Drosophila melanogaster: one gene and its partners. The protein of the gene in region 2 interacts with the protein of the main gene of each other region in a pairwise test. Each region holds a gene or a part of one and is shown on either strand. Other genes may lie near its edges.

What was found.
Region 1: the proteins of CG11248 (region 2) and CG1137 interact in a two-hybrid assay, tested with the Drosophila melanogaster proteins (one large-scale study listed by BioGRID).
Region 3: the proteins of CG11248 (region 2) and CG13476 interact in a two-hybrid assay, tested with the Drosophila melanogaster proteins (one large-scale study listed by BioGRID).
Region 4: the proteins of CG11248 (region 2) and myd interact in a two-hybrid assay, tested with the Drosophila melanogaster proteins (one large-scale study listed by BioGRID).

The regions. Positions count from the first base shown.
Region 1 is NT_033777.3:6,556,658-6,564,114, reverse strand, and holds CG1137 (uncharacterized protein), read left to right. Parts: upstream 1-3,763; 5' UTR 3,764-3,889; coding exon 3,890-3,965; intron 3,966-4,210; coding exon 4,211-4,808; intron 4,809-4,867; coding exon 4,868-5,017; intron 5,018-5,084; coding exon 5,085-5,400; 3' UTR 5,401-5,497; downstream 5,498-7,457.
Region 2 is NT_037436.4:21,676,866-21,685,992, forward strand, and holds CG11248 (uncharacterized protein), read left to right. Parts: upstream 1-3,184; 5' UTR 3,185-3,287; exon of another isoform or gene 3,288-3,367; intron 3,368-3,434; 5' UTR 3,435-3,441; coding exon 3,442-5,568; intron 5,569-5,629; coding exon 5,630-5,758; intron 5,759-5,814; coding exon 5,815-6,051; 3' UTR 6,052-6,366; downstream 6,367-9,127. Other genes in the region: Als2 (amyotrophic lateral sclerosis 2), read right to left, coding at 1-185, 305-2,633; Sfp78E (seminal fluid protein 78E), read right to left, coding at 6,463-6,737, 6,800-6,977.
Region 3 is NT_037436.4:14,703,587-14,706,657, forward strand, and holds CG13476 (uncharacterized protein), read left to right. Parts: upstream 1-1,877; 5' UTR 1,878-1,957; coding exon 1,958-2,407; 3' UTR 2,408-2,571; downstream 2,572-3,071.
Region 4 is NT_033777.3:19,176,562-19,185,078, reverse strand, and holds the start of myd (mayday), read right to left. Parts: upstream 4,421-8,517; 5' UTR 3,963-4,420; intron 1-3,962. Other genes in the region: CG5555 (uncharacterized protein), read left to right, coding at 4,659-4,674, 4,899-4,952, 5,020-5,368, 5,431-5,601, 5,669-6,460, 6,527-6,821; CG14282 (uncharacterized protein), read right to left, coding at 7,146-8,027.

The DNA of each region.
Region 1 (7,457 bases), on a different chromosome or scaffold from region 2:
ACCACCCATCCCACTCACTGCCCAACTTTGAGTGTAAGATTGATTTATTTTTCATTTGCTGTGCTTTGCTTTCTGCTGCCCCACATTTTTCATAACTTTTTCTGTGATTTCCGCTCGCCGGCACTAAATTTATTTAAGTTATAAATTGTGTTGGAAATTTGTAAGCATTTAAAAATGATTTGCAGCTGTCGGCTCCCTCGATCTGCCTTAAAGCGAAATAAATCCAATGTCACAACTTAAGCACTATCAAGTTATTGGCATAATGTGCAGCTGCTGAGAGCTGCGTTGCATATACGCAGCGTCGGATCTGTGCATACATAAATTGTGGCAATAAAAATAAAATCAACAGCGTTGCGCCTTTGGTTTCGTTTTCGGCTTAGTTTCTCTCTCTTTTGGGAAAACTTTTCACTTTCCTTTCTGCTTTCCTTGGATCTGAAAGTGGAACTGGAGACGGGGACATTATTTCTTGCTTTCATTTCCGTCTGTTTTGTCTGCTTGGCTTTATTGCAGTTCTCGCAACTCGGTTTCTTTCCATTTTTTTTCCCGGCTCAGCAAATAAATATCACAAAAATTCGCTTCCAGTTCCGTCGGGCATTTCATGAATTTTCCCCGCATAGAAAAGAATTTTCCCTCGATTTTCTTTTGCGCTCCTTTTTTCTTGCTGCTTGCCACTTTGCCAGCTTTTTGTTTCGGGTTTATCCGCGGAGTATTTTCCCACGACTGCTGCGAAACAAAACAATGAAATGAAAAATTATGGCCAACGCCCCGCTTCCCTACCACGCTTTTTTCACTCTGCCATCATCCGGTGTGTAAATGTGTTTCTGCCATCAATTTTTATTGCAAGGTGAGTGTATCAATAAATTAAACATAAAATTTTCAACCGGCGGAGGCGAGAAGTGCAGTGGCCACGCCCCGTTCTACCCAGATTTAAGCTGAGCATCTTGTTGAGCCATTGAATTGAATTTGTGGCCATTAAATGCATTCGGATTTGGCCAATTGGCATTGAAGTTGTTTCTCAAATTGCCTTCTGACTTCCTTCATCCTCCCACCGACGTCTTCGTTTGCTGTGAGTGTTTTGATGGATGGCCTGGCAATTTATATATAATATGCCTGGTAAGCAAGCCAAATCATTGGCAAGTGCTTTGATTTTCCAAAAATAGCCACAAACTAATTTTCAGCTTGCAGAACTCAAGCCTTCACGATAGCCAAGAAACTGTATTCAAATAGTCGCTTGGCATTCTCGTAGAAGCATTAATCTCTCGCCTCGCATGCTCCTTGGCAGCAAAAAACAAAGCGCAAAATCAATATATTCTATATCAATATTAATGGACCTCAGTTCGCGCACACACTCACACAAGCACACTCACACCTCAAAAACGGGGATAAAAAAGTGTTGACAGCTGCTTTTATTCACCTGTCAGGCACACAAGCCGCGCTAAACCGTTGATAAGCAGCCGTCCAACAGCATGTCATACGTACATGTGGTCCAATCCAACCCCCTTGGGCGGAGAATCCAGGTCCAGCTATCTTCCCTTGTCCAGCCGAGAAGACCGGGCAATAAAAATCCATCAGCATCATTTATCAATAGGGGGTGATTTTCTTCCCTATTCTGCCCAGTCCAGTGGCCCTGAAGAAATATGGAAATATCAAGCATTCATGTAGGAGAGCTACAGGAAAATGTGTCATCTGTCGAAAGAAACTTTGTCGGGCCCAATTCTAGACTCCAGGACCTGGTTGTCACAAAGCATAAATGTCAGAAAGTTCGGGGTTGATAAATGACATTGAGTTCCACTCGCCAATGTATTAATTTGAACCAAGACAAGGGGTCTGCCAAAAAAAGGTCACCAGAACAGAACAAACATATACCACCTACGTGAAAAACATATAGCTGGTGATTTCAATACTAACATGAAAAGCATAAAAAATCACTGAATATACACTTTATATGGTACACGCTCTTAACACAAATAAACTCTATGTTTAGTAACTATCATTGTGGCTTAAGTTTATTTAGAAAAAACACTTGGTATTGAAGGTATACATATTTCAAAGCATACGTATTTAATTTGCCGATTTTTTTTATAAATGAAACTTAAGTGGTATATAGATTTTAAAATGCCTACGACTAAAAAATGTTTATCCAGCCTGAGGAATATTGTGTTTGATTTTCAAGTAAACCCTATAACTTTCTAGCTTTCTGTTCTTTTCTGATCGACACATATCAAACTTTGTTTCTATAGCACTTTTAATTAGTTTTTAAGAATTCCAAAGATTATTGACTTGGATAGAGACTTGCCTATATTTCTGAACATTCGTAAACTAAATTAAAGTTTTTCCAGGAATCTGGCATCCATCTCCTCCCCAAATTGTTTCGCAACATTTTTAATTAGTTTTTATCTCGCTCCATGTGCCGTTGCTGTCATCTGATGGATCTTTAGCATAAAGTGCAAATGTAATTCAATTTCGATTTCCCCAACGTACTGCTGCAGCTGACAGTTCAATTCCCGATACTTTTCTGGTTTTTTATTTGTGTTCGGGATGCAAGTGTCTCTGAAAGTTATTTGCTGTCGCTTGGCTCTTGTTTGCTGGTTGCTCACTGGTGGCGCGCCTTTTGCAAGGCAAATGAGCGCCGTGCCAAATGCCACGCCCCGAAACGCCCACGCCCCTCTACCCACTCCAAAAAAAAAAACAAAACAAAACGGGGGAAGGCTCTCAAACAATATCTGATAAGCTGCATCAAACATTTGCATACTTCCGGCAATTTGTTTTTGTGCGAGCCAAACGAATCGAGACAAATGCAATAAGCGCAGAGCAACAACAGCAGCTATGGAAAATGCGATAGAAAAAATGATAACTGCCAAGATTTTTCAATCAACGAAGAGATTATACACTTTCTTGCTCAAATGTAACTGCTATTTGTGACCAAAAATTACAGACAAAATCCAGAAATTTTATGATTATTCGAACGTTGAAGATTTTAGTTGTGGGAATTTCGACACTGTGGGCACTTCATGATGCACTATTTCCCCTAAAAGGGTATTCAAAGCACAAACAACTCAGGATGAAACCGAATTCACTGGCGCATACTGTCCGATTCGGTTTCGGATTCATATTCAGAGGCGGAGATGCAGGATGGTCGAGTAGTGCATACAAATTACGCCCCGAAACAGTGCCACGCCCCTAAAAACTCCCTCAATAACTCCGCCTAGAACACGTCCCCGGAAAACAGCCAGCCCCTCCCCCACGAATCGGTTTATTTAGGTGCCTCGCCTGTGACTCGCAGCAAGTTGTTTGCCATGTGCTGTGAGCTGAATGCGTCTTTACCAGCCAAAAATATTGTTAGCCATAAATTTTTGGCAACACAGCGGAACAGAGGAGCGCACAAAGAGCTGCAAAAAATGTGCATCCAACATCGAGCAGGAAGCGCTGCATTTGTAGTCACAAATTCCGGGGCATTTGTTTAGAAACTTTGTCCGCAGTCCGCGACTGAAACACGCCATGTAATGTCAACTTGATTCGGGTCCAAACAAGAGCTTCCACTTGAGGAAGTTTGCAGCTCAGCGGAGCGAACCCAGTGGCAGATAGATGTGTCGAGGATCCGCTTTTGTAAATATACGAATTTGTGTACATAAATTGGGCACATCGTTCAGGGGATCAAGGCAACAGGGCTAACTTCCATCACAGTGCAGTTCGAGTTTCAGCTCAGAGCAGGAACAAATTTACACCGACACACAAAACCACTGCTGTCAAAAAAAAAAATAATAAAATAAAGCGAGAAACAAATAAAAACAAGCTCTTTACAGTAAAGGCTGCTTTCGCAGCACCTTAATCAGAAAAAAAAATAAATGAATTATTCACAAAAGACTATTTAAAAACCACGAACAGCAAGATGAGTTTGACGGAGATGATGCGGGGCAAATCGATGCCAGCGGAAAAGAAGAATGACATCAAACTGGCCCAGCATGGTGAGGTGTTTAGAAATCTTAAGCAGACTTAACTAAATCTATTGTTCTAAATTAAAATAGCAAAATAGCTATTCTTCTGTGTTTATTACAACCATTTAAAAAGTCTGCTTAATTACAATATAAAAGAAGTGCGTTCAGACAAATACCTTTTATGTGCGTTTATAAGAAAACATTGTATCTTTAAATTTGGGACACAAAACACTTGTGTCAATGTTTAATCACATAATTACACCTTCTGCGCCTAGAATTTGCAACCGTGAGAATAGTGCAAATCGGATGTGTTTTAAATGTCCTGGCCGAGGCCATCGAACGGGTTAAGATCTCGCTAATCATGCCGAAACTGCTGGAACACCCCGCGCACATGGCTAAGATTCTTAATGGAACCAAGTACGAAAAGGCAGTTCACCTGGTGGAATCGTTTGTTCGTCGAAGGGAGTTCATTCTGCGGGAGAAACGTCCGCCCCTGATGGATCACGGCATTATCCAGATCATCGATTTCTTCCAGCGGAACAGCAGGATCTACCTTCTGTTTCCCAGCTACTACAACCACATGAGCGACAACGAGAAGAAGCTGCTGAACGCCTTCGAGATGCTCTATGATCTGGCCAAGGACCGCTTGTACAGGACGTCCACCGACGCCATCGCCCAGGAGCGCCAGCTGCATGCCATGTACAAGCAGAACGAGGTGGTCAAGGAGCAGGTGGAAGAGCTGCGCAAGAAGATCCTGGATCAGAAGGCGGCCATCAGGAAGAGCTTGGCTGATAAGGAGGCCTACCTGCAAAACTACGAGGACCTCCTCATGAAGAAGAAGAGGGAGAAGAACGAGCGAATCCAAAAGGAAATGTGAGTGATGCTCGTAGAAAAAATAAATGTTCCTTTAACTTATCAGTTTGTACTCTCAGCGATCGGTGCACTCGTCTGGTAAAGGCCAATAAAAAATTAAGTTTAGAGCGACAAGCTGATTTGGAAGAACAGCTGCAAAAAACGCGAAACAACTATAACTTAACCACAAAAAACTATTTAAAACAGGAAAAGGTGTTTCGAGAGGAAAAGTAAGTGAAACTGGATTTTTAGACCGACAATATTTAGATAACATCAACAATTGGCCAAAATCCTTAGAAACAAGCTGATTTTACAACTACAAGCCATTATCAAGAAATACGATCACAGCATTGGCGAAAAGATGATCGAGAACATGGAGCTCGCCGAAGAACACAAAAAGGCTAAGAAGGCCCTCGACGAATACATGATTGGGTTCCTGAAGGTTGAGCGGGTCTACAAGCAGATCGTCGTAAAGCGAGAGGAAGAGGAGGCCAGGCACCGCCAGCATCGTGTCCTGTTATTCGCCATGAACCGCGCAGCCATCAAGATCCAGAAATACTGGAGAAAGTGGAAGAAACACATGCGCAAGAAGAACAGGCGAAATAAGAACTGAAACCATTTTGAATAGCCAAAATTTTAAGTGGATACTAATTTTTGGTACTAATTGTAGAAAATAAAATTTTAGAATTATTTTTTTTGGACTCTACATGAAAGTATGTACATTTACCATGTGTCGACAACTGAAATAGCTGCTAAAATTCTGTTAATATGAAATATTCATCCTGTCACTAACTGCTTTCGACCAAGCTGCATTAGCCTATTAGAGGAAAACTAATTTCGCTTTTAATCTGCCGGCTGGCAAGCCACAAAGACACCTCGAACTTGCCCCATCTCTTCCACTATCTGCCCGCCATGGTGTGTCATTTGCATTTAAAATGTGTGAGAGAGGTTTCTATTTTAGCTGCCCTATATTCCACCTTTTTTCGGTGTGGAAAATGCATTGAAGGGGGATTTTTATCACAATGTGCAGCCGGAATGAGGGGACATTGTGTAATGCGATGGGGCTAAGTGCAGCCAAGTCAATGCCAAAACTGCCGGGCCAATACGGCAGGGAATTTTGTGGCTCATGGTGAAAGGGGGAAAAAAAGAGCGGGACAGCTGGACAACCCAAACGCCTGGTTAGTTTCGACCATCGAAACGAATGAACGAACACCACCGTATATGCAAATTACGCGCACTGCTCATGCCCTGTCATGAATTGTCACCCATTTTCCAACTGAGATGCTTCGACACGCGCAGGGTGGGTGGTGAAACCCCTAGCGGTAACGGGAAGGGTTGGGTAAATGGGGAATGGGTGTGGGAAATGTTCCTAACCAAGAGGTAGATAGACCGCAAAACAGCCAAAGGCCCGACCGGGTACAGTGGCAAGAGCACTCATTCGCCCCGTTGGCAGCAACACTCATCCGCCCCGTTGGCTGCTCCATGACTTTACGCCCGAGAGCAGCCGACATGAATATATCTGCTGCTAATATCAGGTTTCCTTCCGCCCCCGAAAACCACACCATCCCACAAATGGTTTCGAATTGCTAATTTTATCAGCACGTGCACACATGTGTTACAACATTTTCTGCGCTAGAAGGACATCCTTTCTGCGGCCGAGGACATTCGTTATCGGCGATCTACGTTTGGCATTTTATTGCAGACCATTTCAGTTCGACCCATAAAGATTGATAATTATGTCGGGCTAATATTGTCAGCCGTAAAAATTGATATCATCGGATGGGCGCTGGAAAATATTTTATGGTCAACCTTCAGGCCGATTGTGCAATCCACATAAAACGCTCATATTAATGATGTAAGGGGCAAGAGAAAGACACATAAACGGAGAGAGACAGAGGGAGAGAGAGAGACAGAGCGAATGCAGGAGGTACAAAATCCAATGAATATAAACAACAACAATTGAAATAATGGCAGGCAGCTAAAATCCTATCACAGGACTCATCCTTACAACCAGGCAAAGACCGCAGTAGAAAAGCTTTCCACCTCTATATCCTGTTATTCCCTATTTCCATCCAACTGCCCCTGTGTTGGTGCTTTGTCCTGACGACTTAATCGCCGTAATGGAAATATCATTTTTATTAGAGATTCATTTCGTGCATATACAGGAATCCGTTTTCAGAGTATTTGCCATTTCAATTGTTATATTTATTGTGCCACGGTTCCCGCCGATGGTTGCAGTAGAAACAAAATTCGTTCACGGATTTGCATTTTTCTTGAATACTCTAGCTTATGATATTAAAAATATACTTTGGGGATTAAAAAATATTTTAATGGCTTAAATAAGTTTAAGTACAAAATTAAGAAAATTTCAAATCATCTAGATAGGGTTAAAGGTGTGCAGATCCACCCATTATAAAAATAAACATTTTACCCATTTAGTTTTTTTCAAAGAATACAGCTCGAGGGATCATGGCGTAAATTCCATCAGATTTGGGTAACAAAATATTTACTTAATCCCGACCGTTTATGGTGCTTTGCTATGATTCTTTGTCCTGTCAGCCGGTTGACATTGTGCACAGGATATGTGTAGATTGTGGACTCGATGCATTCGTATGCGATTCCATTTACGTTTGCGCTTTGCCATTCAACTAAATCTCATTGATACTATAA
Region 2 (9,127 bases):
GATGTATCGGTTGTTCCGCATCACTCCATGGCCGTGAAACAGGCCCTCGCAAAAATTTCCTTCGTAGACTTCGCTCTCGGGGGAATCCTTACAGTGCATTTCGTAAACACCGTGGCCGTGGAACCGGCCACCTTTAAAGTTACCTACATACAGCCCCGTTGTCGGAATCACCATTTTGCCGAAACCTTAGGAATAACGTTCTTTTAATGCTTTTTTCTATCTCTAAACTATCGTTTTGGATGATCATCGATAATTTACATAGGAGCTATATAACTAAATAACACCCAGGTCAATTATAACTCACCTTCAATGATCCCGTGTTGCAGCTCTCCGCAGTATACACTTCCGTCTGGATACTCAAGGTAGCAATTTCCGTGGAGAACGCCCTTTCTCCAGGTACCGCACGCTTTCACCCTGGAGAACTTTGGGTGTTCCCGACTAAACTCGTACCCCGTGGAGCGATAGCTGGGCACAGGACTTCCGAGAGGTTTGCCCAAGGACGCTATAATGCTCGATTGCAACTGGTCCAGCCACACCTTGCGCATCTCCTGCGAACGGGTGCTTACCAGAAAGGATTTTTCCGGCGTGGTCAAGCGCAGGCTGTCGCCTTCGGTCCACACCCACAGGGTAGTTAAGGGATACGAGTACAGCGAGTTGCCGCTTACCTGGCAGAGGAAGTCCGAAAAGAGAATGAAACTGTTGCTTGACCTGCTGATACCAGAAGTGACTAGTTTCAATGGAACCAAAGCCGACGTCAAAATAACCCTTCTGTGACGTCCTCTGAACTGCACAATCCTCGGGTTTCTATCGTTGCTGCTCCAGAAATCCTTGGTATTCACGGCGAGCTCCTGGCTGATGCAGCTGTGCCGCGCGAACTCCGACCAGGCCACCCTATGCTCTCCGTACTCAGATTGCGTCCTCACCAGCAGCTCCATAAACTGGACAAACAGCTGGTAGATACTGAAGGGTTGCTGGAACAACCGAGTGACGTAGCTCTCCTCGTTGAGCTCGGCCAGCGGGCTGCTGAGTCCAGTAATGGCGACCACCGCCTCTCCAAATCCATTGACCGAGAACACATCGCAATAGGCCTTTGTGTAGCCGTCAAACAGATCGATGTACTCTTTGTAATGACAGATAAACAACAGGTCGGCAGGCTGCACAAAGTCCGCTCGGTAGAATCCCTCTAGCGAATGCAAAGTGGCCACTAGCAGGCACAGTATTCTCTCCCAGTTGATCAGCAAGGGACCGAGGGCGCTGAGCGGCTCCAGTGCCGACTGTCTTTGCCAGATTTCGAGTGTTTGGACTGCCTGTCGATGCTTGAGAAGCAGTTGTAACTGTGACTGCAGATGACTCAGATAGTAGTGATACTGCCGCTGGAACTGCCTTTGGTTTTGAAGTGTGTATCCGCCAGAACACATAAGCAAACGTAGTTGTCTGGGCCACGCTGCTCCCAACTGAAGCTGGAGAAGCGTCTGCGCGTATGTGCTGGACTGCTGCAGATGTCGCATTGGAGGCGCAGGTTGAAGGGAATGTATTTGACCCGAGGCATTGAGCAGTAGTGTATGGTAGTCGCCGCAAGTCGCCTCAAGCGCCGAGTTTTGTTCTATGGGTAGTGCTGCCGTGTTTTCCGTAATTGTGATCTCCATGGGCGAGCTGACATCTTCACCCAACTGAGAGTGGTTGTTCAGGCCCCAGTGGTAGAGCCTTCCGTCCAGAGTGCGGGCCACCGTGTGCTCTAATCCAGCTGCAATGCTGCACACGCCCATGCTGTCTAGTTTCTGCAAGCGCATCACATTGGCCCTCCGGATATGATCCCCACTGCCCAGGAGACCATTATTGGAGGCTCCGAATGTGAAAAGTTGGGTGTGGAGCAGAGCGTATCCTTGGTGAAGAAGGTGCCTTGTGTTAGCCGCAACGCTGCGCTCCGAGTGGCCACTGCTTATGGATTTTACAGAGGCCCGTTCATCCTCGGGTTCTTCCTTCGCACTGGCCACCGACAGCTGGAGTGCATCGTCGGCCAGGTTGTAGGGAGCTACTAACATCACAAAGTGCTCGTTTCCGGCTGCTAAGTCCAACAGTTCCTTGCCCTCTTCGTAAAGGCGCATGTGCCGAGGCTGTTGTTCTGCCTTGAAGACTTCGCCGCAGCTGCCCATGACATAGGTCTCCCCACTAGCGCCGACGAAGACAACGCCCTGGGCGGAGCAGCAAACCCGTCGGATGCGTACGCCCTCAGCATGCAATTCGAGAGGGTCGAAACCGAGGGTTTGCCACGCATGTGGATGACCCACATCCCGGCCAGATCCCGTGGCTTGGCGCTGCACAGAGCCATTGGTGAGGACTACGAATAGTTCCTGACTGCCGGAGCAGAAGTCCATATCCACAACATCGGTACGCAGGAGTTGAAGATCCATGTGTTCGCGGTTGGCCTGCAGCTTGGCGGAGTAGAGGGCGTGGTCAGTGGTCAGAAGGAGCAGTTCCCCGCCGGCATTGCTGCAAATCCGGGATGCGGGAAACCGCTGCAGGGGCGGCAATCCGCGCCAGTGAAGCTGTAGCTCCCTGCCTTCATGATAGATGGTGAAGGACTCCCGCTCCTCCTGACCCCCAAGTGCCGAGTCATCCGCTGCACTGGCCATGATGTGCAAATTTTTGTTGGGGTTTTGGACAGGGCCAAAGCTTTGTAACACGACGCAATTGCTCGATTTGTCTGCAGGTCGTTCTCACATCGTGCACGTGCTCCGGTCCACGCTAGGCACTACTGGCACCAACGAACATCATATAACTTGATTCGGAATGCAACTCTAGCTGCCACGATAAAATAAATTCTGTTTTCACTTGTTCTTAACTGGCTAATAAGAATTCATGTTTTTGTGATGGTTTTTTGGATTAGTGTGACCAGCGCTATCGAGTCCCAATGAGAATTTATTAAGTAAGGGTGTTCGGGTAAAAGTGACGTTCTAAAATTGGGCTTATCACTATTTATTTGGTCCATGCAAATTGTTGTTTTATAACCAATTTTGAAAACACACATAATACCTTATACGTAAACTCAATATTGTAGTTAGCTAGAACTCTTATATAAATTTAAATAACTCCTTAGTTGCATTCGCCATAATCATGGAACCAGTCAACACAAAAAAGTTATTTTGGTATTTTTTTGCGATACATCAATTTGTTTTAATATGGTCATATTGTTTTTGCCATCAGCTGTTCGACTCAAAAGTTTTTGCATGTTTTGTTTATTTCGCTTAAAATGTAGTTTTATCGTTAATTAGGAAAAGTTACCCACGGTAAAAAAAAACAACCGTCAACAATTGTTCAGAAACATCAACTAGTACGACTCAGTGGACACCTCCGTGTGGTACTGCTGGTTTGCATACGCCCACAAAAGTTGTTTTAAGCCACAAACTCACCCTCCTAAAATAAAATTTTTTCAGCTCGGTTATGGATTTGGACTGCGAGGGCGCTACAGCTTTGGCTGACGACTCAGGGCACTTTAGCTGCACTAGCGATGATGGAGTAGGAGATCCTGCTCAGAAACCGGCGCCGCAGCCTGAACCGGACCAATCGATTTTTCTGGTGCGGCAAGAGCTGCTTCGGACGCGCAGTGAGGTGCAAAGGCTCTTAAAATCGGAGCAGTGGTACAAGCAGGAGCTTAAGTCCCAGAAGCACAGCAGGCTACAGACGCTAGAACGATTGTACGCACAGGAACGGAAGTATTTGATGGAGAACCAGAAGCTGCAGCAAGAATCGATCCGCCTGCACACACAATGCGCCACTCTGGAGAAGCAGCAGGAGCAGGGCTCACCATTTTCCCCTGGCTCATCGCCGTTTAAAGCAGACTCGGAGTCACACGACTCCTCTTTTGAGGCCAAACAGCAGGAGGCGCGCCTACGGGATCAGCGTCAGTTGATCGACGTGCTCCGAAGGCAAAAGAAGATGCTTCTGGACGACATCCAGAGGATCAGTCTGGAACACGATGAAAAACTTTCGCAGTTGCAGCAAACTGTTGTCGGCATGGAGCTGGAGAGCAAGCACGTGACTGGAAAATGCAAGCAACTACTTGACCTTAAAAGTCAAATGGAGCACCAGCTAGAGCTAAGAAGCACTACCCTACGCAGTGTCACCGCGGAGCGTGATCAGCTGCGCCAAGTCATTGCTGAGCTTAACGAGACGCTGCAAACGCAGGAGCATCTGTTAGCGCTAAAGGAACAGGAGTTCCTGGATTTGAAACAGTACTACCAACAAAAGCTGAAACGGGAGAGTAGCATGGAAATTATGCACTCTTATAGCATGAAATTTCACGAAGAGATCAACAGAAAAACGAGTGAAATTGCCAGCCTTAAGAATTCTCTTAACGAGCTTCAGGCCGAGCTGATGCTGATGTCTCACATGAAAGAGCAATGCGAGGAACAGCAGCGTCAGCTTGAGCAACTGGAGTTCGCATTGCAGGCACAACTTTTGGAGGAGACTCAACTTCGGCAAAGCAATGCTCTAAAACTGGAGCAGGTGGAAAATTTAACAATTTCTTTGGCTTCGTTACAACTAGATAAGGAAGGCTTAAAAGAAAATTTAGGTGAGGCGCAAAAGACCTTGAAAAATCTACAGCAGAAGGTGGACATTCTTCAAAAACAGTATGCCGAAATGTGCTCCTTGTGTCAAAAGACTAAACAGCAATTGGAACTGGAGAAAATCGAGATTGCCAAAATGAAGCAAAACGGTTCCTTAAAGGAAAGTGAGCTAATGGAGAAACTCAAAGATTATGCAGCGCAGTGTGATGAGCTGAGAAAAGCGTTGGCCGAAGCAGAGTCCCGTATCGATGTCCAAATCAAAAAGACAGAGGGCTGGCAAGTGCAGTTGAAACACAACCAAGCGACCCAAACGGACCTCGAAGATCCGATTTTAGTTCAACGCATTGAGACTTTGGAACAACAACTAGCGGATGTCAGGAGCCAAAAATTGCACACAGTTTCGCTGCTCCAAATACTGCTTCAACAGCAAGAAGCTAAAATCAAGAGCACTAACGAAATGGAAGCAGACTGGCAACAACTGTTAGATGCTCTGCAAGCTACTCAAAGCTTGGAGCAGGAAATGCGATCAGAACTACAGCATAAGACGGTTGAATTGGAGCACCTGAATGAATTGTTCGCTGGACAAAATGATGAACTGCAAAAGCTCCAGAAATTGAGCCAAGCGCAGGACGAGGAAAATCGACTAGAGTTACAGCTTTTGAAGAAAACATTCCAAGAGAATCTGAAGATAAACTCCGCTGCGTCGATTAACATGCAAAGGCTGCAAGGCCAGGTAAAGTCTTTGCTAGATGAGAAGGAGGAAATTGCGCGAGAAGAACGCAAAGCAGTAGAGTGTTTGCGATCTCTTGGTCACGTTCTTGAGATGGAAACAGGAAGGAGGCTACCACATATAAAAAGCTGGCCTCAGTTGGCCAAAATTCTTCGAAAGGAACTGCGAAATGGGAGGGTTAACAATCGAAAGGCTGAAGAGCTTCCTGGGCTTAAAATGAAGCTGGCGGAGATCAGCGGAAGGCATCAGCAAGCTTTGTCAAAAATTAAGGTATGTTATGTCTTACTCCCTTAAAGTAACTCTTTGTAACACAATTAATTGCTTTTTACAGTGTCTGGAGCACACTTTGGTAATGGAGCGAGCGCGGTTTGAGGCCTCGGACTCGGGCAAATCGACGGCTAGCAACACGCCCCAGGAACCCGCCCATGAAGTGGCTAATCTTATTGATGACTACAAGAAGGTAAGTATGTTCCCCTCCGATTGGCTTCTCTTGACATTTCCTTAATTGATTTACAGCTCGTTCAGCAAACCGCCAATGAAACATGTCGCCCTCGCAACAGCTTCATATTCGATCTGATTGAGCGGAGTCAGCGATGCCAACCGAATTTGTGCCAATTAGGCGAGGGTATTTCCGCCTGCCAGTCTGATATGAAGGAGCTAAGCAGGATTATTATTGCTGGTCGGGAACGGAGGAGAGTGGAGCCCATGCCCTCCCTCATGGATGAACTTCGAGCGGTGGCCGAGCACTCTTAGACGAGCATAATTTAGTTTTCAGTCAAATACTTATAAATTTCCTATTTAGTACCTATTTGTTTAGTCTCAAATTTTGTTTTCCTAAAAGGGGCAATTAGTGAATTGAGTTTTTGTGCCTAGTCTCATAGGCCTAATTTTCAATCAGATCCAACTTAGTTCAATTTATATAAATATTTATTTTGTTGTCTTTTGTGTTCGTTATCTTTATTTATGTGTAACGCATTCTGTTAGTTTCACCAATTCTATATACATACTAATTGCCAAACTATACCAATATTTTTTCTACAAGATATATAAACCATTGTTGGTTGCCACAAAAATGTGTAATTATTTTTATAGTCCATAACATTTAAAGTTAAAAACCTTGTGTAGATAAAACATATTTGTGTGAAGTCGATCAGTGCACATCATTTACTTTCGTGGGCACCTAGGGATTTTAGTACCATCGTTCTCCGAAATAACTTCCTTTTTGTCATATATCGTATTTCCGTTTTCATCCACGTCCAGAACTTCCTGTATTACCCCTTTTCGAGTTCGTGTTATCCCACACATAGGCTTATCGTTTTTATCCATGCACAAAATCAGGAGCTCAGTGTGCTGTAGATCAGAGGGCTTTAGGACCTTTGTTACCTTACAAGATGCCGTAAACTTTATGGGGCACGTCACCCCGGCACATTGCCAACCATCTGGGGGGAAATAATTATTAACATAGATGTTCCAATACTACTCGTATCCATGTAATCCATACACTTAGTCTTCTTTACCGTCGCTCGATTTAAGTCCTCATTTAGGTGCCGATCTCCGTCTGCCTTAAAATAAATGTACGATCCATAATACTCCATATACGGATTTACCCTTACCACGGTGTGGTCAGCAAAAGATAAAATGGCCAGCACTACCAATATTAAGGAGATAAAGATATTCATAGCTCAACCTTGCTGATGCAGTTTTCCTCTATGACTGATTGATTCAAACAAGTCTGCTGATGTATTGGATCAGCCTAATGTGTAATGTGTGTGTTCCACAGAACAAAGATACACCCCTGCAACTGAGTTCAGAATTTAATAACACTATAGTTTATATACGTTTCCGGACGTCTTACATTGGGAATTGTTATTCCTGTATTGTATTCACAATCAGTCACTTAGAAAGTCGCCTTGGAAGCGGAAACATGTCTTCGTCAGGGTGACTTAAGCTGTGGCAAATTGATTCTCCAATCAGAGACGGTGGCATTCTTTTCCATTCCGTTCGAAATGCATTAGGCGTAGGTACCCGACAACACCCTTGGCATTGTCAACGCCTGGAAAGGAATCCGGAGGGACCCGCACGAGGAGGGCGATCCACTTGGGTATTGATAAATGCGTTGAAAACTAAGCGACCGCCCAGTGGATTACCACGGCCCCACGCCAGGCTGCCCGATTCCCGATCCTCGACACCCCTCCCGCTGCCAGCTCGCGATGAGGAGCAATCGACAACAATCGCTGGTCAAATTCAATTGGCGCAATTTTTCATCTGTGGCTCCCAGGGATCCGATCTGGCGGATCCTTTTGGCTCTGCCTGCTGCCGTCTATTGTTGCCCTGGGCCTTGGCAATTGTTCTCGGCTCTGGATCTCTGGAGCTATGGGGCCATGGAGCCACGGGGCCATGGGCTATGGAGGTATATGGCTGCGGAGCCCTTGGGCTCAAGGTTGTTTATTTTGAAAAATCACCATCACCCGATCGTGGCTTGTGCCGACGGCTGGGGATTTAATTCTGTTCTGGACATTTATAAATTGCATTCAATTTATACACAACACGAAAGCGTGATTTTTACATTTTTACAATCTAGCGAATAATAGATCAGCGTCGTATTATTGCGGACTCCTTGCTCCAATGCTCTTTGGGGCCATACCTTCTTTGGGTCTCCAGCCCGTGCCGTGGACTGGTAGTTGATTGAAAGTAGTGTTGCTCAGGCAACAACTAAACCAATAAAATACGCAAATATCTATAATATTATTATTTATATATTCCGTTGAAATTGAAATTATCCTATCTTAATACTGTAAATATATATTTTTTATAATTTCTTAACGTCAACAGCAATAATATATAATAATATATATAATATAATGTAGTCGTAAACAATTACTTATTCTGTTCAGTAATGATACATTGTTGAATGCTTTTTAATGGCAATAGCCTTAAATTCGGCGAAAAGTTGAATAACTACGATTTCATTTCGTTTTTCATTAAAAATGTTGGAAATGTAAAAATTTCAGATATCTCTTAAAATTGTCTGTTTACCCGCATTGACACCCGTTCGAGGTCTATTATTATTGGAGTCCAAGTTCCCAGCCAGGTCCAGCAAGGTGGGGACATCGTGTCGTCCGTCCGAGGGTATCATTTTATTCGATGAGAGTGCTTTTCGCTGTACTTCTCTGGGACTCTTTGATTTTTTGATTTCGGTTCTGTGCATTGAGCAGGTCGCTCATTAAAGCGGAGTAGTAGGCGGGTGAGGAGTGGTTGAGCTGAGGGAGCGGTGCTGGCCAAACAAAAGGAATAAACATTTAATTCTCACCAAAGCGATTGATGCTGTCGAGGGATTGAGAAGCGATGTCGAGCACCGTCCCATGGCCTATCTGCCGGGCAAACGATCCTTCTGCTCCGGCAGGGCATCAAATCTGGTAGGCCAGTCAGTCCTAGTGCCAAATTGCAAATTCAACTTGTTAACCTTGAAAGCCGATCGGACGGATCAGCCGGCGGACAGACAGTCGAGGAGCCTGACCGCAGATCGCGCACAGTATGAGGCATTTAGTCAGACGTCGTCGTTGTTGCTGTAGTTGTTCTTGCTGCTGATACCACTGATGCCGCAGTTGTTGTGGTTCGTCGACGATCCCTCGTTTGTCTAGCTGATGCACTGGGGGAAATCTGGAGAGTGTAGTGCTCACCAGACCAAAGTTTGTCTCTGCTGAACACAGATGATTCAAGTCATCAGCAACATCTTAGCAAGTATAGCCTTCTATTATTATTATAGTTTTTAATAACGATCTATATAGAAAAACATTTTTGGGTCTATTTTCGAATGCAACTATTTTAA
Region 3 (3,071 bases), 7.0 Mb from region 2:
GGTTTATCGAATTTTTCCGTCAATTATGTTGGTTTCTGTGAAAAAGGTTGCCATGATTGAATTACCATAGGATTTCAACAAAATATGTGTCGCAGTATGAAGACCTTGCCGAAACTTGATAAGCAAGCACAGGCAGAGAAATAAATAGTCCCTTTTCTTTTCAAGCCGCAATAAATCACCTGCCAACCGCACATCAATTTTAGAAAGCTCCAAATGGGGATGCAAAATAATCAAAAGCGCAGAACCTTAGTTAACTGCTATATTTCAGCCAATCAATCAAACTGGTTTCAATTATTTTTTCATACATATTCAGGTTTATAGTGTTTATATGTAAGGTGTTTGTAGGTTCTTTATTGAGGCAAATATATATAAAAGAAAAAAAATAAATAAATAAGGTACATTTTGAACTTCACTATAAACAAAAGTCAACACGTCCTTAGTCTCTTAAATATGAATTCGACTTTAAAATCGAATAGTATTTGCAATCCACATCAGAAATAAAGTTCTCTTAATTCAGACTAACAAAAAAGATTGATGTTCTTATATATGCATTCACATAAGTTCGACATGGAAGAAAAAATAATCGGAAAATTGCCAAAGCTTCTTCCTTTTCAAAAAGTGTTCTGCATTTGTGTGGGTATAAACGTGTCCTTGTGAGTGTCTGCACTCATGCATAGAAATAAGCCGATAAAACCCTGACAATTGTGTCATGGAGTAGCGTTTTAGTTTTGGGATTGGACTTAATGCCTCTTGACTTCAATTTGCATAGTCGGCTTAGCAACGTTCGTGCAATGATTGAATGACAAATTGATAGAATTCGGCATTTACCAGTTGACAGCTAAGGAAGAGCTTTTTCCGGTCGGAGGAAACGGAAGAAAAGTTAAACCGATGATGGAGATTTCAGTTCAAATTCTGTTTGAGCATGATTTAATTATCGTGCCGGTTAAAAAGGACTTTTCATTTGCCTACAACAATGTTCACAACGAGTTGCGCCTTTTTAATTATAAAAATCAAAATTCATGAAAAGCTCTTAGAATATAGAGATATGATCTTTTAGTGTTTAAATCTCTTGAATGCGAGTATAACATAATATATATATAAATAGGCTTTTCATCATCACATATAGATGATTTAATCCTTCTTCTCCAACAAAATTTTAAGCCATTCCCAACAAAGTTGTTAAATTGTTAACAAAGCGAACATTTTCACTCAAAAAACGCCCCTATCGCATTGACTCTGACCTAGACCGCAAGCCGTTTAGATCCCGCAGGACTTCCCATTAATCCAATTAGGGCTGAACATATTTGCTTCTCATTAAAAATGAAATCCTTTGCTTTGGACCGGAATCAAGAGCTTTGACCAATTACCAAGCGTTTTTTCATTTACGTTCGCACATTCGAAATAAAAAATTAACCAGGAAGGTCGCAGATAAAGGCATTGACAGAGCAGCTTAGAAATCTCTTTGTCAGCAACTTAAATGAAAATTAAGACATCTGCTTTCATTTAGCTTAAGTGCTTATCTTGCGAAGGACGCAAAGGCAAAGGACACGTTTGCCCACAGGACAATCAATTATGAATGCAACACCGAGCACCATCAGCTTGGCAAAATAGTCTGTAATAAAAGTTAGGTTCATGAGGAGTGCGATGCTTTTGGGCGGCTAATGATGATAATTATATGTTTTAAGTGACATTGATTTGTCGCCTTCAGGATGGGCCGGGAAATTCCCATGATGTTTAATTCATTAGCCAGCTAATCGGCTTACTCTGATAATTAATATAATTGATGTCAGTCATCTTATTGTAGCGCCACCCAAGCAGGCTACTCATTCCCAGTTGCCTCTGTGTCATTTCTATGGATCTAAAATAGGTTTCCCAGTACTATTGACGCCCTGAAAGTAATCAGATATTCACACATAAAATAAATTCAAATAAAATCTGTATATTTTGTACGCTCACAATGAACATGAGGGGAATGGCCAAGCGTTCTATTTGGCTGCAATGTCTTCGGGAAAATGCCACCAATATGCGCCTGGAGCACGAGGATCTGGGACGTCGCATTGCTGTTTCTTTGGCCAGTTCCCAGAAAGCTCTAGTTGATATCGAAAACTTGAATCAAGAGCTGTTAAAAATGAAGGACACAATCCATAATGCCATTTCCAATGTTATGGGCTACGAAAAGAAGTGTTGTGAATTGCTCCTGGAAATTTTGATTAAAATAGTTGAGAACAACGACCTGGATGCCGAACTAAATCCCAAAATGATCTCCAAGGCGTTTCTCGACTTGGATCCGAGTTCCGACGAGACAGAAGTTCTGAATGACCGTAGTCTTGCAGCGTCTGATTTTAATCAGCAATATCCAAAAGATGTGCCGGATTCTATTGATATAAACATAACAGAAGACCAGTAACCATTTTAAATAGGATCCAAGACCGCACCAATTCGATTACTAACGTCTTAATTTAATGCGTTGTCAATTCCACCTCACACATTTAAAAGGAATAATAAGGTGGTCAGGGCTACAAATGTTTTATATTTTTTATCGATTCAATTAAATTTGCATGGTGAAATGACAAAACCCATTGTCTCTTTCTTCAGTTTATAGTTGTGGGAAAGTTTCTAAGACGTTCGAAATGTTAAAACCCTTGAAACGAAAAAACTTAGGATGACCATAAAAATACAAAATTATGAACAGAAAGAAAAGAGAAAAGCACGCCAACATCCGCACAAATTGTCCTGCAGAAAAGTCAAGACAAAATCACGTATACGCACTGTGACAACCCACAGCCTGGGTTAAAGACAATCCCAACTGGTAATCCAAGTCGTGTGCGTAGCCAGCATCCATGTTCCTAAACAATTTGTCGGCGATTTGTCGGCAAACTTGAGCCATATACGCCACACATACGCACCGAGTGAGCCATATTGCACATACGCCCCGTGTGACCCACAGAGGAATACAAAGAGTAACGAGGTTAAGTGACCCAACCAGCAAAACAACCTGTTGACTCAGGCTCTCTGCTCTCTCACTCAAAGCAAACTCACTCATCGGTGGGTTTGTTTTGCTCCGCTCTTTC
Region 4 (8,517 bases), on a different chromosome or scaffold from region 2:
CGCACTGCCAATGCAAATACCCAGTGGAGAGGTGAAAAGATGGGTACAACAATTGTGAAGCTCGATTTGATTGTACCCTTTAAATTGAAGCATAAAAAGTATTTTAATTTTGCAATCTACCAAACATTTTTAGGAAAAACCATTTTTAATTAAAATAAAATTTATATTAAATTAAACAAAAAAAGTTATATATTATTAGTTACTGGGTTTCCTCAAATACTGTTTAAAATTTGATCTACCGTCTATTAAATTGCATGCGCACCCTTATTTAATTTATCTATTATAATGAAATCAACCGCTTTTTTTTTGCATAAACTTTTCAAAAGGGTATTTTTTAGCATCCGTTTTTTAACCGTGGCGCACAACAAAAAAATAACGACTTAAACAGAGCGTGTTTGTTTGGCGTTGCACATCGCGTATACGCAGCGTTGTCCCTGCAATGCAGAGCAATTTCATTGACAACGCAGCAGGTGGCATCATCACCATCAGCACGGCAATTCCGCCGGACAGAAGGGCATGGGAAGCTGGCGAATGAGCAACGGCTGACCCGGCAAAGTGCACAACAAAACCTGGGATGGATGCACTTGAATGCAAAATCCTCGACCTGGGGACAAACAAATGAGTGCAGACGAGCAAACAGGCACACACACACACACACACACACACTGGAAGGCAGTTGGCATTCCGGGGCCAGGACATTCCCGGATGTCAATCTCCTGTACACGTCCACACCCATTCAGCCAGATGAGATGCAAGGTGGAGAACTCACCGAAAGTTCCCATTGCCATTGCGCCGACCCGAAAGAAGTTCATCTCGCATTTTTGCACAATTTACACACTGAATTCCCTTAACCGACGAGGCATTCATATGCAAATAAGCTTTTATTAGGTGTTCCCTGGATGGTGAAACGAAAATGGAACCGAAACAACTTTGGGGCCAATGCGGCATGGAAATTGGAGTCTGAGTTGCATATTGATTGCTATTTGGATTATTGAAATGATTGCCCTTTTCTTTCCCTTGCTCTTCATCGTCGTTCTCTTCCGTTTGCTTATCCCTTTTTTTCGGGATTTGGTAATAGATCTGTTGGACTTTTTCCAATTACAGACTTCTTGGGTAATATTGAGTAACTAGGGATTCTTTACTTGTATATACCATACAATACAATGCAATAAAATTTTAATTAACCTAGTTCTTTTTTTGGCAACCGAAATCTGTTGACATTGATGGATGGCTTAAGTTCCAAAAACCCCCAAAATACATAGCTTAGAAGATAGGTTTCCCCCAGCCAAACCAAATCAATCAAATTGGACACATTGTGTGTATGAAGGGAGAGAGGGATGTGTAACAAAAAACAGATTGCCTTAGTTCACAGATAATTAGTACAAAGTGGATTAACGAAGCTAATCCCAGCTAACTCTTGGGTGTCTGACCCATTCTACTACAACAAAATGAAATTACCACAAGAGCGTATTTATTATTTCATTTTTCGGCTGTTTCCCTTTTTGTGGTGCTTAGCCAAGTTTAATTGCATTTTGATTAGGCCTAGCCTGAATTCGTAAATACATGAAAAGCACATTTTCCCACATACAGGTCTAATTTGGTACAACGCTGCGTATGCGTAATATGAGTTCTGTACTTTTGCCCTTTCATTCAATATGCTCTTTATCTAAGCCAGATGATATTGATTGATACCAAATACGTTTCTAATTATAATGTGTGTTGGGATTACAATGCTCGAAATGGCAATGGGTACAATGGGAACTAAAACGCGATTACCCCCACCGATTGCATATTAGCACTGGCCAAAAGAAGTTTCCAAAAAATAAAGTCAGAAAGAGATGGAAAGAGAGTGGGAATGGAAAAAGGAAGAGATAGAGATATAACTGGCTAGTTAGAGAGTGAAAGAGACGGACCACGATTGTCGTTTTGCCAGTTTTTGTTTATGGGTGAATAAAAAGTGAAAGTGCACTTCAAGCCAACTTCGCACACAGCCAAACAAACTGCTTATGCATATAGACATACAAAATGCCACATGTCAACATGTACGTATGTATGTATGTATATCTACTTACATACATACATGTGAGTTGGCTTGTAATTTTAACTGCAACTGTAGCTATGAGCCGACATTTAAACGTAACAGACACTTGAGTCGAGCTAGAAATGTCAGGCCTGGAGAACGTTGGGTGGCGCGGGGCGGCGAGGGGGTGTGGTGCCATCTAGCGGGGGGATTCCCCCCCACAAATGAACATACAAGAAGCAAGTGCATGTGAGTGTTTGCGCCGTCGTTGGTGTTGGGGCAACAATAAACCGTAGGGAAGTGCAACAAATGCATGAATAAACAACAACTCAATTTGAATAAAGCAACAGCAGCGCAGTCGACGTCGGCAGAGGGGTGGGGGGGGGTTCCTAGACGAGGGGCGGGGGGTTGTGGGTGCTGCTTGTTGCAAGGTGTGAAATGTAAACTAAAACTAAGCTTTAAAGTCACTAAGCTCTTGGATGCAACTTTAAATCCGGCTGCAGACGCCGCTTTAAACAGCTGAATCGATTTGAAACAAACGAGTTTCACACAAAGTGCACACAAAAATTGAATAAAAAGTAGTTATAGATTTTCTATTATACATCTAATTATAATACACAGCTCAATGGTTTTATTAATTTCGCACTAAATATGCTTGGCAGAAATGCTCTTTAAAAACATTACTCATTTTATTGAATTTGCAGGCTGGAACAAACAGCTTTAAGCCTAATTAAATATTCTCAGTAAATTGCTTTTAATAATTGATTACCTTTTAGGATAAGCGGGGTAATTAAAAGAAGCTCAATAAATTAAGTATTTATTAGTGTTTCCTTCAACACAAAAGGTGTGTAGCTGAGCACACTTTGTTTAAAAGTAAACATAGTTAAATTAAATAAAATTTTATTAGCGAAAGCTGATGCTAAGAAATTTTTGGGAAATCAATAAACTATTTAGCTTTAGTTATTTACCGTTTGTTATATATAAACTGTGCATAATTTAACAGCAAGAGGGAAACAAAAAACCATGGTTTTGCCAACTTTTTTGAGTCAAACTCGGTTTATGTAAACTGAAAACGGATTTTGGCTCCGCTGCAAAAACTGGTTGGCAGCGTTTCGTTCCGTTCGCCTTGCGTTTATTGCATACAACAATTGATTTTCTTCCGAAGGCGGAGAGCGGAAAAGCGGGACGGCGAAAATGCAAATGAAAATGGCAGAGTGCTCAGCGCCGTTGCGGGATGAATGTCAGCGAGGGGGCAATACATGTAGTTTCAAACAAACTTCAAATTGGCGAACACAAAAGCAGCTCTCAGACACACACACGCTTTACATAGTGAGACGCCGAGTGGGTGGAGTGAATGGAGTGGATGGAGTGGGTGGGTGGCGCTGGGAGGTGCCACCTGCTGGCTGGGCGAGTGCAACAAAAATGACAAACGTGCTTTTGATAGACTTGTTGACGACAAGCTCCTGGCACTTGGCAGCTGTCAGCAGCAACCCAGAAACGGGCTGACGTCCTCACACACGCATGCACTGGCCCAAAAAAGCGGCACCATGGAGATTATATTATTTATAAATTAGATTTTGCATAGAAAGGTTAAATTTACTTTCACTTAAAAGTGGTGAGAGCGTTTAATATTAATATTTGGCAAGGAAACGCAAAGTTTCATTCATTGATTGAGTTAGTTATGATTGATTGATGAAATTTAAGGTTTAACTAATATTTCAAACTACAAAGACACATAGACAGTAAAGACACATAGACACATAGTAATAGACAGTAAATATATTAAAAGAGGTAATTCAGCACAAATGTTTCTCACTGTGCACCCACGGCTATTTTTGATCTCCGGTCTTGTTTGTTAGCATATGAGTGCGGTTGTGAGAAAGGTGAGCCAGTTGCGAATTTGGTAAGCAGGTTTATGGGCGAACCCCTTAATAAATAATACCAAAAATCAATAGGTTGACTCCTTGCGATGACCGTTTTTACGGCCGCGTCCATACATTGAATGTTGCACGTGTGTGTGCGGTTAAATGTACTTTGTGGTCCAATCTTGGTAATTGCAATTACAATCGACTTTGGTCCGCCGCGCCCATGGTAATCAATTTGTTGTGTTAACCGCGGGCGCAGCCCATGGTTACTGCAGCAAACGGTATGGAATTAAATCACAAAAAACTATTGCACTCACTTTTGCTTTCGCTTTTGGTTTTTGATTTGTTGCAATTTCCTTTGGACAGCCTTTTTGTTTTGCTTCTCTTTTATTTTGACTTGGTTTACGCGCGCGGGAAAGAACGAGATGACGACGTAAGTTTCGTAAACTTGTTTTTGTTATGGCCCAAATCACGGATGACGCGAGTCTGGCTCACCGAACACGTCCGATACGCAGCAGCAACAGCAACGCACTGGCTTTGTTTTGGCCAACTCGCCAAGCGGATCCGACCGAAGTGGCCACAGCCGAAGTTGTCAAGCGAAGCCGACAAGTTGTATGTTACTTCATAGCACACTGTTCCACAGGAAATCACTTTTATTTTATTGGCTCCATTCACTTATCATTTCATACGAGTAAAAATATACATTTTCTCTATTGGCGATGAAAATCTGCTAAACCGAGCACGAAATTAATATTTTAATCTTTTGAATTTCGATGGACTTGAATCCAGGTACGTTACAATCAGTGTTGGTAGGCATTATCGATAAGCGATTGTTGAACTAAACACTTTTGTCGCGAAGCAATCGATGGCCGTTCACTCCGCGCGAACTAGTTCACATAGAAAAATAACAAACTCATTTCGCACAGAGTAAAATAGAAAATTACACTTTGAACGGTCTTTAGGCTTTTTTTTATATATAAAAACTAATGAAAATTATGCCCGTGTCATGCTAGAAAACATTTCCCTGTGTGTGATCAAGATCGAAACGGATTTGGATCCCAGTGCAGGTAAAATTCAATGCAGCAACGATAGCTTCGGACAAAGGAAGTGCATTAATTCTATATTTTCGAACAGATTCTGAGGGAGCTGTGTCCGCCGAACATCCAACCAATCCCCGAGTGCTCAAGGAGCGGGAACGCGACCGCGGACTTCGCCAATCCCGCGACATCACCATCGAAACGTACACAAACCAGCGTTGGAAGCGGGAATTGAGTGAACCCAGACAGCAGGAGATGAACTGGGTAGCCGCCGTGCAGCATGTGAACAGCCCCTCGGCGGGCAGCTCCCGGGAGATAACTCCTCGGAGCGGCGATGATGGCCAGGCGGGAGCCAGCGCCTCCAACTTTCCCCAAGAGATAGGGTACTTCTCCGGCAATCCCATCGTCGAGGTGACCAAAGGTCTTATCCATCTCTACAAGAAAAAGTGGGTTAACTCTGCTCTATCCTACTAAATATTTCACTCACCATTATTTCTGTATGTTTCAGCGAACGCAAGGCCATCAAGGAAGCTCCATCTAACCAACTCTGCCTGCTGGCCGTGCCGGCCACTCTTAACTGCCACGATCTGCTGAACTTTATTGCCCCCTGTCATGCAGAGATTAAACACATCCAGATTGTACGTGACGGCAGCCCCAATCAGTTCATGGTGCTTTTGGAGTAAGCGGCGTTCCAATCTGACATTACAGATTCACGGATATTTACTAATATAATCACACTCTTATAGATTCCGCTCGAATGAATCCGCTTTGGAGTTCTACAAGTCCTATAATGGCAGTACTTACAACTCACTGGAACCGGACTCGCTGTGCCACGCGGTCTGGGTATCAGAGGTGGAAAGGAGCGAGCATGGAGCACCACCAATGGGACACACCGAGCTACCCACCTGTCCAGTGTGCCTGGAGCGCATGGACGAGAGCGTGGATGGAGTGTTGACCATATTGTGCAATCACGCCTTCCACGCCAGCTGCCTGATGAAATGGGGTGACTCCACCTGTCCGGTGTGCCGCCATGTTCAAACTCCTGGACTGGTCGAAGATTCCGTGTGCATGGAATGCGAGGGCACCGATTCCTTATGGATCTGCCTGATCTGCGGACATGTGGGCTGCGGACGCTACCAGGGAGGACATGCTGCTGCACACTTCCGGGCCACAAATCACACCTTTGCCATGCAGTTGGGCACCTCAAGCGTATGGGACTATGCCGGTGACAACTTTGTGCATCGCTTATTTCAAAACAAATCCGACGGCAAGCTGGTGGCATCGCAAACCGAGAAAGATGAGCGCGAGGAAAAGATTGACTCCATGCAGATGGAGTTCACATACCTGTTGACCTCTCAGCTGGACACACAGCGCAAGTACTATGAGGAGCGCATGGAACGATTGGAGCAGGAGTGGCAGAACCACAAGGCGACTGCCAACGACGCCAAGACAGAGGTTTCCGAGCTTCAACAGCTTCAGCAGAACATGCAGAAAGAAAAGGTCAATTTGGAGCGCAAGTTGGCCCAGCATACAGCTAAGTAAGAAATACATTCACATCGCCTTTCCTAATTAACCAAATATTAACCAATTTCGTGCTCTTGTAGGCTAAAGGATGTACAGAAGCAGCTGAACGAAGAGCGTGAGTTGTCCAAGGCACTGCAGAGCAACCAGAGCTCCTGGCACGGCAAATACAAACTCTTGGAACAGCAGTACAACGAGTTCAAGCAAACCCACGACGCCGAGGTGACCGAATTAAAGGAACAGCTTCGCGACATTATGTTCTTTTTGGACAATCAGCAAAAGTTGGCCAACACCGAGATAGCGGGTGGCACCGTTACAGGCATTGCAGAGAAGGAACCGGATCCCAACACCCGGCGCCGTAATCGTCGCAAGAAATAAATCATAGCCACCGTACGCCGTCTTTATATCCAAGCTGCATTGTTTACCCGATCTTAGATGGCTATGCAAACCGAGTATATAAGGTTTATAACAGCTCTATATGTGATTTCCTTTGTATAACGAAAACCTAAGGATTAAATATAACTACTACTACGTAGAAAACCATATGTCCCAAAATGTATTGCGTGTTTATTTTGAATTAATAAAATGTTTGAAGAAAGCCGCTTTTCATTTAAATTTTTCCGCTGGTGGCAATAAATTCTGTGTACTTAGCTCGCCAATTTAAAGTTATTATTCGAATACAATCGTGGATTAATAATGATATCATTCAGGCTTCGGACAAATATCCTCGCAATTGAATGTGGGATCCGAAAGCTCCTGGGGTTGCACTGCTGGATCTGCTTGGAAAATCACGAGCTTCTCCTTCATTTCCTGCTCGTTACGATCAAGATTCATCAGATAGGCGGCAATAAAGGCGCGTGGATCCTGCGGCGAATGAATGTGCAGTTGAGCGAAGGCCCTGACCAGTACGTCGCCCATCTGTTCCTTGATCTCGCCAGCCATTGCATCCACGGCCTCCAGATTCTTGCTCTTGGGCATCCAGTCGTATCCCTTGAAACAGCAGCACTCGCAGTAGGTCTTCGGATCGGAATCCTTGAGCAGTTTGAAAAAGGGCAGCAGCTCCGCCTCGCAGCTCTTCAGCTTGGCCACCTCACGCACGAAGCGCTTATGCAGCTCGCACACCTCCTTTCCGCATGCCCGGATAACCTCCGCATCCTGGGAGAGTGTCGCCGTCCGCTTTATGTAGTCCACCGTGTTCTCGTGGAACGACTTGAACTTGCACTTCTCCTCGTTGTAGGCATACAGGCACTGGCGGGCATAGATGATGATGTTGTCCCGCCTCTTTCGAATCTCCTCACTACGCTGGGTGAAGTGCGCTGTCACCTCTTCCAGGCTATTGATCCGCTGGGCGAATTTCGTCACATCCTCGGTGCTCTCGCAAACTACCTTGCCCTTCTTCTCGTGCCCGCACTTCTGGTTCGCCTTGTTAATCTTGGCCAGCTCCGCCTTTAGCTCTAGATTCAGATTCCTTAGCTCCGTGTTCAAGCGCTTCACATCGTTGTCGTTGCAGATCAACGCCTGGAGCATCTCGTGCAGGCAGTTCTTGTGCGGATTGGGCAGCTCATCGGGGCAGCCGGCCAACATTTTTAAGGATTAATTGGGTAGAATATTTTCACAACAAATAGATGTATGTAGCATATATATTTCAGTGTGAATCTTTACTTTTGATCTTTAGTAGAATTTTCTATCAGTTTACTGGGATTCTACGAAAAGAATCCCTTTAACTTAATACAGTATTGAAATATTACAATATGGGCTAATTTAAATATTTTTGTATTGCATTTATAAGCCTTGGCTTAGCAGAATCTTAATTCTTTGTTAGATTGTTTCTTTGCTTGAATATAGTTAAATAACCGAATAACAGTTTTCTTGCGAAATAAAAGTCCAGCATAAAATGTAAAATTACTTACTCGCTGCCAAATTGATTGGTTCTTATCTACAAATATACATACATAAGATATATCAGTACGCTGAATTACAAATTCCCAAAAAGTCTGTCCAATACGAACCGGTTTGACTAGAAACCGAATATTCACTTAAATTGCGTACCGACAGCAACAAAAACAAATAAAGA